Linked DNA regions of Neurospora crassa OR74A. The protein of the gene in region 2 purifies or fractionates together with the protein of the main gene of each other region. This does not show direct contact. Links are inferred from orthologs where the notes say so. Each region holds a gene or a part of one and is shown on either strand. Other genes may lie near its edges. The genes, in order: NCU01625, prk-3 and NCU01831.

Region 1 (4,061 bases), on a different chromosome or scaffold from region 2:
TTCCGCGCAAGACGCGCCCCAGACACTGCGCGGCGTGGCGCATGGCGTCGAAAGAGAGAAAGTCGTTTTCGCGGATGCGGTACGTTTCGCGCAGGAACTCCAAGCGGGCCTTGAGGATGCGCGACTCGGTGTACTGGAAGGGCACGCCAATACAGAGCACGGTGCGGCCGTACTGGTGGTCAAAGTCGATGCCTTCGGACACTTTACCGCGCGCGACGCAGAGCAAGATGGCGCCGCGGCCGTTGCAACAGGCGGTGCGGTACGTCTCGAGCGCTAGCGAGGTTTCTTGCGCGTCTGGGGTTTCGACCAGAATGAGTTTGTGCTTCCACACTTCGTCGAGGATGCCCATGCCTTGCCACATGGAGATGATGGATTCCATGTACAAGTACGAGGGAAAGAAGACGACCATGCCGTCGGGCGTGATGCGGGCGAACTCGGTCAGGAGATTGCCGTAGTTGCGCACGACGCTGGGCTCGTTGCGGACTTGGAAGGAGGTGGAGATGGAGGCCTGGTCGGAGCCGCGGGTGACGATCATGGGGAGGAAAGAGCGGCGGGCGAGGGTCATGGCGTAGGATTCCTGCACGACGGTTTCGAAGTTGAGCATTTTGGGGTACATTTCAAGGGGGGAAATGGTACCGGAGGTGATGATGACGGAGCTGAATCGGTCGAAGACGGGCTTGATGGCGATGGCGGCGTCGAGGCAGGTGAAGTGCAGGACTGGGTTCGGGGTCTTGGCCGTGTCGGATTCGTAGGGCTCGAGGATCAGTAGGAAGCCCTTTTCGTAGGTGGCGACGAGGGTTGCAAAGGTGGCTACTTCTTGGAGTGGCCGGTAGTCTTCAATGTTGGTGAGCTCGAGGGTCCGTACTAGCGAGGTTAGACGCTCGGCGCAGAACCGGAGCGGTTTCTTCTCGATGAAGGTGTATTCTTTCAGGTGGGCGAGGAAGGATGGTGGTGTTTCGGAGATGACCTGGCGGACCTTCATGCGGGTCTTGAGGTATTCGATGAATCTCCGGAGGAAGGCAACGAAGTGCTCGGCTCGCCTGATATTGCCGGGGACAGCCTCCTTGAGCAGATCGTCGGGTAGTGTTGGGTTAGCCATAAAAGCATCCTCCTGTCGCCCTTCATCTAGACCCTTGAGTCCTTCGACTAGCTTTTCGTACTCGGACTGAAGTTTCTCTTGATCAGAGTCCTTCATCTCGCTGATTTTGGCCTCCAAGTTCTGAGCACCCCTGGTTGCCCTCATCAGTGAGTCCTGGGTGATGTCGGTACTTAGAGACTCGATGCAGACGTTGTCGATGTTGTGAGCCTCGTCAAAGACGACGATGCAGTCCTTGGATAGATCCTTGGACACGCGCTCGGCGATCTTGGGGTCTAGGAGGTAGTGATAGGAGTAGATGATGACGTTGCAGTGTTGCATCTACATATGAGCTGTTAGTATGTATGGCATCTCGAGCTATTACATCCGCATCCTGGGGTGTTGAGAAGAGACCTACCATCCTCCTGGCAGTGAAATAAGGACACTGTTTCTTTTCCTCGCCATACCTCATCAGGCCATCCAGTGTCCAAATTCCGTTAGGGATCAAGTTATGCGGTTCTAGAAGGTCGAGATTGTCGTGGTAGACGCACGTCTCCACATTCTCCCCCTTTTCCCTCTTCTCCTTGACGAAGCCGGCCGTCAAGCTGCGACACCTCGCGTCGACAATGGCACCGCTCTTCTCCCGCTTGACCGAGGGATGCAGACACAGGTTCTTTCGACTTGTCAGACCGAGACCGCGAAACTCTTCTTCGTGCCCCAGCCGCTCGGCTCGGAACTTCATGAGTGCTCTCAGCTCAACGAGGGCCTTTTCGATTTCGGACATTGTTCGCGAGCAGTAGATCAGCTTCCGGTGCTCTGGGTAGTATTGCTGGTAGGCGACGATGAGTGACAAAAGGGTGACGGTCTTGCCGGTGCCCGAAGGCATTTCCAGGACACAGTTCCCGCCTGCATCGAGGGTTTCTGTGGGGAGTGGTGGTGGTCAGTGGACGTGTGATGAGTGTGAGCTATTTGTTGAATGCTCACTTTTCAAGTCCACCATGTACGCATATTGTTCTGTGTAGTCGGTCTGTCAGCACTTGTGATGGTGTACCAATGTGGATGAGCTCACATACCTGGATATATCCTTGGGTAAGGAAACAGAACTGGGAGATCGCTGTTGTTTGCCGGCAAGTTAGTTATCTGGTTTTTTACAGACCAAGAACGCGAACGCGTCATCTCGGATTTGGCTCTTACTCGATGTTGAACTCCATGGTGGGCGTGTAGTATCACGGCCTTGGATACACGGACAAAGGGAAGGAATTACGAATGGCTGCGCGGGCAGCAGCAACGTTGATGAATGTTCTTGCTGGTTTTACTATGTCGCAGAATATCTAATCGACGCGGGTGTCCGGATGGAGAAGTGCGACAGGGCTGATGCTTAATATGGTCGTTTGATGTTCTATTTCGATGTTTGGTTTGGTGAGAAGCGAGAAGTCGTGAAATCGAGGTCAACTTTTGGCATGTGTCTGCACGCTGGAGCTTCTATCTTGGGTCTTGGCGGGGGCAGTCGTTCGTCTGTTCTTCGGTATTCAAAGGGGCCTCCTCCCTTGTCTCAAGTATGCAGCCTCAGGTCTTCCCCTAGACCGCGTATCTCTATTATTATGGCTGTTTGTATTGCGCTTGTTGTTGTATAGATTTGTGAAGTCGAGAAAGCACGTGCCAAGGTTGCCTGGCGGTGGCCTGTGGCGATCAGCTTCAGGACAGGATCTCGGTGGATTTGATGGATCAATGATGTGCTGTTTCTGGGAATCCGGATCTGGCACAAGGTCAGGTACGGTGATACTTTTACGGTGAGCTGCTGCCGGTCCGGCACGCTTGTTGCCGGCCCGCTGATGCCGGATTGACTGCAGTGAGTGTGGACCCCCCACACGCACAGTCTTTCTCATAGTTCAATTGCACTGTGGCCTTCACATTCAAAAACGACTGGAACACCACAACTTCATCGTCACTTCCACTTCCTCAGCAGCCTCTATATTCATATTTCCTTTGCGCACACTCGCTTCCATGCTCAAAAACTGGTGCACAGGCCGCGCTGATAGAGGTAGTCCGTCTTCTCTTAGTGATTGCAATGCTTCAAGTCTACAGCAATCGGCGGACTTGGAATTTCCTCGGATTCGGATTATACGATAACTATCAGTGTTGGTACTTCCGCGCTCAGTACGAAGGATCGCCATCTTGCCGATTATCTATCAGTCCATGGGTCTTATTCAAAAGGAAGATTAAAAAAACGACCGATGGAAAGACAGGTCCTTCAAAGTAGCGGGAAAACGAAAGCGCCAAAACAAGCTGCAAGAAGGGAGAAACCTCATCATCTCAGACGCTTGAAATCAACGATCGGGAGCAAATAGATTAATTCCACCTCTCACTTCAATACCGTCCGTGGAGTACCACGGCGATCCTCAACACTTTCATATCTCTCAGTCACACATGCAGTATCTCAGCATAACCTTTATGTGGCTGTCCCGTAGGTAGTTGTTGGAATCCAAGAGCTCAAAGTTCCCACATCGACTCGGGAGTCACCCACCACTCTTCATGGAACGTCAACTGACTGCCAGGTACATATTCCACTTTGGGTGGTGACTTTGATACCCCGACTCTCGTATGCCACCACCGGCGGTTGTTGGCGCATGAGTGAATACGAGCAGCGACTGTCACGATGGAAGAAAAACGGGGCTCATCAAATCGCGGCGGCGGCGCTTGTCTGCTCATTACTACTTAACCGCCGGTTTGGAGCAGCAGCAAAGTTCCCAATTCCAAGTAGGTAGACTTCCGAAGGATTCCCAAACCCCGCCGCGCGGTTGCGATCCTTCGCCCCGGACTTACTTCCATATCTACACAGAGGTACTCAGGGTGGGTGCGTGGTGATGGGTGTATGTAGGTAGATAGGTAGGCGCGCCCTTGCTGCCGTTGAGTCTAGATCGGGGCGAGGGAGGGAGGACGGAGGATTTGAATCGACTCCCCGAACGCCTCCTACTTGCATCAAATC
Region 2 (3,833 bases):
GCGCCATCAAGCTCATTGCCGACGTGAATCTCTACTACGAGTACATCCGCACCTTGAAAAACCAAGACCTGCTAGCATATTTCAAAGCGCTGAGGGAGTTGAGTCAGATTTACCTGATTGATGCTAAGCATCATGCCAAAGAAATGGCGACCATTATTGCGGATAACGAGCGGTTTAGTGGCGTGTTTAGAGCCGAGGAGGTGTACGAGTATGCGGAACGAAGGGCGGATTGGTATAATGTGAGGAAGGAGGTGGAGAGGGCTATGTATGGGCTGGAGTGTTTGGTAATGTGAGGTTGTAGGGAGGGACCATCGAAGGGTGTTCCTTGGTAATAGGAGAAAGAGTGTGGAGGAAGAAGATTTAACGAATAGCGAGCATCTTTACTTTTTTTTGGATTAAAGAGCATGATAAAAATAAAAGTACCTAGAGAAAATAGGATATGAGGGTTATATCAATCAATGACAAAGCATCACATACACATTTTCCGCTTTACGAGCTACATGTCAGGAGACTCTCCCGTAGATGTGATTCAAAACCGATTTGATGTCTATGGACTGATGATATGTGTGATGCGCCCAAACGCCTTTCTCTTGCTCTATATTGTCAATGCCGTGCATGCATACTGTATGTGACCTTTCCAACCCAGTGTATCCGTTTCATAAGTAGATCATGCCTTCTCCAGAAATGCTTGTCATCATACTTCAGTTGTAACCCTCGTCCATAGCCTCCTCACCTCGCGGTGCCAAAGTCCAACTTCCTAGCGACCTTGGAGCCGCGCACATCGTCGTCCTCCACCATACCATTCCGTCTCTTCAAATCCGCCGCCAACTTCTCCTCGGCCCCTGCCGTCTTCTTCGGCAGGTCATGCTTAGGCGTCGGCTTGGGATCTGCCTTCCACCACCTATGCTCCAGCATCTCCCTCGCCGTGATACGCCTCCTTGGATCCAAAACCAGCGTCTTGGTCAACAGATCCACGCCATCGGACCCGACTGCGCCAAACCGACCCATGTACTTGTCCTTGCCCGCCACGGGCACCACGTCGCTGGGAACCGTATACTCCTTCAGCTGCGTAACACCAGGCCAGTTCTCCTCCGTCGGCGTGCCGATTTCCCTGCAGATCAAGGCGATCTGTTCAACCTCCGAGTTACCAGGCAGGTAAGGGGCACGAATGATGAGCTCGGCAAACACCAGACCCACCGACCAAATGTCCACGGCACCCGAATAGTGGCGGGCGCCGAACAGCAGCTCGGGAGGACGGTACCATCTGGTGATCACGTTCGCCGTCATTCGCACGCCGGGGTCGGCAAAGCTCCGTGCTAGACCAAAATCCGCCAGTTTGACTTCGCCGTCGGCGGCGATCAGCAAGTTGTTGGGCTTGATATCGCGGTGCAGCACGTAATTGTCGTGACACCACCAGATGGCGCGAGTCAGCATGCCCATCCAGGCTTTGATGTCGGCGGCGCCGTAGCGGACGTGGTCAACGTCGCGGATGAGCATCTCGAGGTCGCCGAGGGGAAGGTATTCAAGGACGAGGTTGAGGTTCTGGTCCTTGGATGAAAAGACGGAATGTAAGATGATGATGTTGGCGTGGCCCCGAAGCTTTTGCAGGTACTTCATTTCGCGGATGGCGTCGGGCGCGATGCCATCTTGGTATTCCTTTTGGACTTTGATCTTTTTGATGGCGACTTGTGTTGAGGAGTCGAGACGGGAGTGGCCGAGGTAGACGTTGGCGTAGGTACCTTCACCGAGTTTCTTGCCTGTTGCGCACGATAATATGTGTTAGTTCGATAAACTCCCACTGGAAGAGTTGGTATGACCGAGTACAACGCACCCTTGATGTATTTGTTCTTCTCGTCTTCGTTCATCTGTTCCATCAGATCCATAGTCGGGCGGGCTAAGGCGGCGATCTGCTGGCCCCGGGCCGACCGTGGAAGTCCCCCGCTTGGGGTGCCGCCGCTGGATGGCGGAAGGGATTTCGGTGGCTGGAGCGCATCGGTCGGACGCGCAACAAGAGGGGAGTTCGCCATGTTGCTGGCTGGTTCTCTCGGGTGCTTCAACCCTCGGGCGGACGGTGTAAAGTGATGCCAAAACAGTCGATTACCTACTTAGTCCAGAGATCGCGGGGAAAAGACGGGCTCGATGGGAAGAGAAGGTCGGGCGTCAACGGCAGATCAACGACCGGTGGCTGTTCAGTTGTTGTTTTGTTATTGTTGTTGATGGTGTTGGGCAGCTTCGTAGAGGCAGCGTTGCATAGACGGAGTTAAGATAAGGACGGAGGATAAGGGAAGAGAGAGTGGGATTAAGCTTTGGCAGATGGATGCGCTGTGATGGATGGAGTTCGGTGGAAGGGCCCTGTCAACCAGTGGAGGCCCGGATCCCCGTATGTCTTGTGGGTCCGCTGCTGCCCGCTGGTGTTTGGAGACTAGAGCGATTTCCATTTTTGTTTCTCAGTCATCCCGACATATATAAAAAGACATCTGTCTTTGAGGGTAGAAGGTATCAAAACATCCGCAGTGTTTCTTCACATATCAACTTGGATATCTTATCATGATATATATGCATATCACCATCAAGGGAACCTCTGCCGCGGTGCCGCGCGACGGATGCCCTGCCCAGCCCAGCCCGCCGATGACACCGTCACACCGTCAAACTCGTTTAGGTAAGCACTAACAAGCAAAGACCCCTGTAGCCGTAAGGATAGACCAGCAAGAGACACGCTAAACCCCGAAAGTCTCAGTGCTCCACAGGGATGAGCAGGCGCCTGGACCCTGACGTCACTTCTCACCCAACCAAAGTGGCAGTGTGAAGGCTTCTTCCTCCTCGTGGACGGGCGTCGACATCAGTCCGCGCGCCGGGCACAAGCCGGAGATCATCCGTTGGGCTAGGATTAGAAAAAAATAAAGAACAATGATGAAAACGAAACCCATGCCATGGCAGAGACAAGGAAGTAATCCGCGAGAGTAAGCATCATAGCGTGTCTAGATTACAATAGACTCCAGAAACATAACTCCGGGATAACCCTTTAAGGTCCCCCTTGTGCGCAGTCCATCTCATCTCGTCCTACTTACTCCCCTTTTGACTTTCTTTTTTCCTTGTGTCAATCCAGAACTTCTTGTAGTTTGTTGTTAACGAACTTCCACTCGACCTTGGACACGCAAGCAACAAAGCGTGGTACATACATACCTAGCACCCAAACAGTCGACTGTGGCTGCCGAGACAACCGAGCTTCCAACATTCTTTAAGCTTCCATTGTCAGCATCTCAACCCTTGGGTATTCTTTACTACGACTACGATTTTCAGGTCTCTTAGTTACGACCATATACACTTCGTAACGACGGGACGTGCTTCGTCCAAACTCCTACACGCTCGTTCCTTGTTCCTGCATCTCTGCTCGTGCATCTACACCTAGTGTACTAGCGAAGCTGCGGGCGCACAGAACCCGTGTTACATCATATTCTGTACACCAAACCACCTAGACATCAGACAGAATAACAAACTCAGTCAAGATGTTGCGAGGGATACTATCATATTGGGTAAACCTTCACCTTCACCCCCCATCCATCCTTTCCTTCTTCCCATTCTCATTCCCATTCCCCCAAGCTAAGCTAACACAATGCCCCTTTTCCAGATTTTTCCAATAATCTCCGGCGTAGTCTGGCTCGGCACCCTCCTCGGCCTGCTCATCTACTGGTGCACCGACGAAAACCGACGTCACTATGCCTCCATGGACGCGCGGCAAACCATAGCCTACATCTCCGACGTTGGCGCCTCCACCTTGAAGCCCCTCTTCATCGCCGGCTGTTCCGTAACCACCGTCTTCCTGGACCTCTCCT
Region 3 (4,202 bases), on a different chromosome or scaffold from region 2:
GTTTGTCCATCGTTTGGGGCCAAATGGCGTACACGATACTGCCCCTTTCCCATACAGAACCTGGAGGCGAATAAACCATTCCTTGGGCGCAGCGACCGAGGAGGACCATGAACAATCTGGCCCTTTTTGTGTGAAAATTTCGACCGCGTACGACTGATCGCGAGTTGGTTAATCAATTGCGCCCATACAAGCGGCTGAGGTATTACGTCAGAGGCGGCACAGGTCAGTCTTGGCCGTTGACCAGTGAGCGGGGATCTTTGGAAACCTCGGCCGAAGGTGCCGTGACGTAACGTCAATCCAGTTGGCGTTTCTTATTGGCCACCTGTCAGCGCGTAGGTCGCAGGCGAGCCACGATCAACCGCAGAGCTGGAACGGGCCGGCACGGGGCCGGCACATCTACATGTGCCTTACTACTAACGGCGAGGCTACTCCACGGCGCAACCTTTCATCGCATTTCACGATCCTACAATACCTCGCTACGAAGCTTCTGTCGGGCACATCACGCCAAGTACGCGGTCCGCTTTAAGGTCGCATCTTACTGCATTCCTTCATCGAGTATATGTACATAACTCGATGCAGTAATTAGCTTCGATCTTCTCTCCCCCATCTCCAGTAAGTATTGCTAGTTGTGCACTGCACTGTGACAGTTGTTTCGCTCAAGGTAAGGGTCGGTGTTTACCTGTTTCACCACATCACGAAACATGCGACTCACGCCATACGGTGTCTGTCTCGCTGGTGACCTTGCAGATTCATTGGACCACGATACCGAAACGGATATATGGACACATCAAAGCCGTGGACCCCATTCCGTCGTCTGGACTCTAGAATTCGGGAGAGCCCGTGCCCGGAATCCGGACCGGAACGGACAGTTGGACTCCCTGGCTGGCCGTTTTCCACGTGGGATTCCCATTTTGCCAAGCGATTTGACCGCACAAGTATCACGCACCCCCGCAGTACCGACGACGACCGATCCATGATTTATTTGAGCCTTGTATGCCTACATACTCTTTGAGGTTCTTGATTACTTCAACAGTCTGGTGAACCCCGGGCACAAGCATGTGAAAGTCGCAGGCCCCCGAAGGCATAGCCCTACATCGCCTCAAGACAATCCAGTGGCCCTTCTGGGTAGCGGGCACATCATGTAGTATATACTTGACACATATGCACGTCCTTTGAATGTCGTGACTCGTAACCAAGCTTCAAATCAGAGTTGACCTTCGCTTTGAAGTTGTGGTGGAACCAGATTTCGCTGTCGAATTTCGAGGCCCGTAGTTACACAAACGAGATGTCGGTACCCAGCACCGATCTGATTCGATTTCACAGGCCCCACTCTTCCTGCGAGGCTGCCTACATACACGAGTTCGCGCATTTGGGGAACAGCCTTGCAGTCCAGTAAACATTTCCGGCTTCCACCACACACCACGAACCTTTGTTCAGCTTGTGCATTCAACGTCGTCGCGTATCCCCTTTTCTCCATTCTTTCTTATTTCTCTCCGGCACTTTTTCAGCGCGACAACCAGTACCCGGCCTCCCGATCAACACCTACCAGGGAGTTGTCTACACGAACACGACTAAAGGCCCTGATTATCGAACTTCTGAACCTTCCACTCGTTTCGAAGTGACCCTCGAGCTTCTCCCACTAAGAGCGCCAGCTACTATCCGTCAAACTATCCCGACAAACATACGCAAACATGGCTGACTCGGACGGCGAGTACGCCTCCGACGATGAGCTCAAGAGGCATGGAAAGAGGACAGCGGACGGGCGCAGCAAGCAAACCAAGGCGTCATGGGAAGATGTTAAGCGCTCCTGGGATACCGTCTTGGAAACAGCGGACAGCGGCCTCTCCATCGCAGAGATTCGGGAGGCCGAGAAGCGGCGTCGCCTTCTGCGCGACACGACACCTCTTCAGCGTGGAATTATCCGCCATCTGATGCTTGTGCTCGACATGAGTTTCGCCATGGCCGACAAAGATCTGCTACCAAACCGTTACCGAGTCGTCCTAAATAACGCCATTGGCTTCGTACGCGAGTATTTCGAGCAGAATCCCATCAGTCAGCTAGGCATCGTGGGAATGCGCGATGGAATTGCTGTGCGAATAAGCGACCTGAGCGGGAATCCGGCCGAGCACATCGAAAAGTTGATGCAATGGAGCGAGCAACAAGACCCCCAAGGAAATCCGAGTTTACAGAATGCACTTCAAATGTGCCGAGGTGCTCTATAGTCAGCGCTACGGCCCACCCCCTCCGTGACAGAGGTCATTCGCTAACCGCTTCATGTTTTTGTACAGTCAAACGCCGTCACATGCCACGCGCGAAATACTGATAATCTACGGTGCCCTCGTCTCAATCGATCCGGGCGACATACACGACACCATCAACGACCTCGTAGCCGACCGCATCCGCGTCTCGGTCGTTGGCCTCGCCGGCCAAGTCGCCATCTGCAGCGAGCTTTGCAAGCGGACGAACAACCACGACGGCAACTACAGCGTCGCCGTAGACGAGGTGCACCTCAAGGAGCTCTTCTTCGCCGCCACCACTCCGCCCGTCACCCGCACGCCCGAGCAAAACACCGCCAGCCTGCTCATGATGGGCTTTCCCAGCCGCACGCTTGCTCCGAAAGACCATGTCAGCTTCTGCGCCTGCCACGCGAAGCCCACGCGCGAGGGGTACACCTGTCCGCGCTGCGGAATCAAAGTGTGCCGGCTGCCGATCGACTGTCCGATCTGCAAGCTGACGCTCATCCAGAGCACGCACTTGGCGAGGTCGTACCATCATCTGTTCCCGCTCAAGGTGTTTGTGGAGGTTCCGTGGTCTCAGGCGTATAAGTCGACGGCGTGCTACTCGTGCCTGACACCCTTTCCTGCTAGGCCAAGGGATTCAGTGGCGGCAGCGCCAGCTGTGTTAGGAGGGAGAGCCGGAGCTAAAGGTAGCGGGAAACAACAGGACGGCGAGCAGAAAAATCCAAAACCGGAACTCAAGGGTGTCAGCGAAAGCGGGCGGTATGCTTGCCAGGTATGCGGAAATCATTTTTGCATAGACTGTGATGTCTTTGCCCACGAGACTATTCATAATTGTCCTGGGTGTCAGAGCGATACGAGGGATGTGGAGAAGGATACGGCAGTAGCAGTACCAGACGGTGGCCCTACACCCATGGTGATGGATTCCTAGAGTGAGGAGCATGCTACAAATGGCGGCAGATGGAGGACAACAATTAGCCGCTCCGCTTGAACGTTTCAGATTCTTCGGGCGGAACCGAACCGGCCACTCTGGTTAAGAGCATCGATAGTATGGTATCGTGAACGAAAACGATACGATGACCCGAAACAGAGCAGTTTTAAGGGTATGGCGAACATATCTGTTACATGGAGGGGTTGGCGCTGCAAAGAACACGAAAATATACACGGCATCACGATCAAAATATACCCAGACGACTTGGCTAAGAAGAAAGTCCAAAGTGGAACTCCCAAAACCAAAGCTGTAAGGGACACCAGCCGAATAACTAGAGACGACGGGGTCATGGCTTCTTCATGCTCTTTACCAACAAGGCAGTGCAAAGGGATACTAGCGAAAGGGCTAAAGAAATGACGGGATCCAACAGATGTGAAATGGTCCTATGAATTCAAGAAGACGATTCGTTGGGTGTGGCGCATCTGTGAAGGAGATGGGAGACGGATATGGTTATGGAAGAATGATCAAGAAGACTCTTTGCGTATCGGTAGAGTCCCTTGTGACGAGGGGAAAGAGAGGACGGGCACGCAACGAATCATAGATGTGGAGTGATACGGCAATGTGAGATTTTGAGACCATACCAGCATCATCAAGTAGCGTACTAAAATAGCTAATCTTCATATGTCTACACGGTTCCGGTGATGTTCCGATAAAGGAAAAATCCTGCCCTTGAACAAATCGGACAAATTATATGCAAGTAGGTAGGAGTGCGTGGTGAAAAACGAGTGAAGAGCAGAATGCGAAAGGAACTTGTTGGGCGATCATGACTGGCGATTTATGAACAGGTCAACAAAATGTTTCAACCCCTCGTTTTCATTCGAAGCTAATACACCACCGTGAATTCGCTCATTACCTACAATTTCACATAGCTGATTTCAGAATGACAAAGTACTATGTAAGCACGTGTCAAAATCATCACATGATTTGCATAACTATGCCAAAGCTACTTTCATGCTCTACTTCTCGGTTTGAAG

The links.
Region 1: the proteins of prk-3 (region 2) and NCU01625 purify together in Saccharomyces cerevisiae (co-purification; 6 studies listed by BioGRID, with this or other methods). This does not show direct contact. The link is inferred for Neurospora crassa OR74A from reciprocal best matches to the Saccharomyces cerevisiae genes KIN28 and RAD3.
Region 3: the proteins of prk-3 (region 2) and NCU01831 purify together in Saccharomyces cerevisiae (affinity purification with mass spectrometry; 3 studies listed by BioGRID, with this or other methods). This does not show direct contact. The link is inferred for Neurospora crassa OR74A from reciprocal best matches to the Saccharomyces cerevisiae genes KIN28 and SSL1.

What each region holds. Positions count from the first base shown.
Region 1 is NC_026502.1:2,932,349-2,936,409, reverse strand, and holds the start of NCU01625 (DNA repair helicase RAD3), read right to left. Parts: upstream 2,807-4,061; 5' UTR 2,287-2,806; coding exon 2,270-2,286; intron 2,190-2,269; coding exon 2,149-2,189; intron 2,090-2,148; coding exon 2,060-2,089; intron 1,997-2,059; coding exon 1,494-1,996; intron 1,418-1,493; coding exon 1-1,417. UniProt on the Saccharomyces cerevisiae protein: ATP-dependent 5'-3' DNA helicase.
Region 2 is NC_026505.1:1,999,086-2,002,918, forward strand, and holds prk-3 (serine/threonine-protein kinase), read right to left. Parts: upstream 2,527-3,833; 5' UTR 2,028-2,526; coding exon 1,832-2,027; intron 1,758-1,831; coding exon 730-1,757; 3' UTR 524-729; downstream 1-523. Other genes in the region: NCU03658 (secretion pathway protein Sls2/Rcy1), read left to right, coding at 1-293; NCU03660 (FK506 suppressor Sfk1), read left to right, coding at 3,507-3,533, 3,629-3,833. UniProt on the Saccharomyces cerevisiae protein: Catalytic component of the TFIIK complex (KIN28-CCL1 dimer) which is the protein kinase component of transcription factor IIH (TFIIH) and phosphorylates the C-terminal domain of RNA polymerase II during transition from transcription to elongation after preinitiation complex (PIC) formation, thereby positively regulating transcription.
Region 3 is NC_026502.1:2,258,515-2,262,716, forward strand, and holds NCU01831 (RNA polymerase TFIIH complex subunit Ssl1), read left to right. Parts: upstream 1-1,381; 5' UTR 1,382-1,691; coding exon 1,692-2,221; intron 2,222-2,288; coding exon 2,289-3,168; 3' UTR 3,169-3,869; downstream 3,870-4,202. UniProt on the Saccharomyces cerevisiae protein: Component of the general transcription and DNA repair factor IIH (TFIIH) core complex, which is involved in general and transcription-coupled nucleotide excision repair (NER) of damaged DNA and, when complexed to TFIIK, in RNA transcription by RNA polymerase II.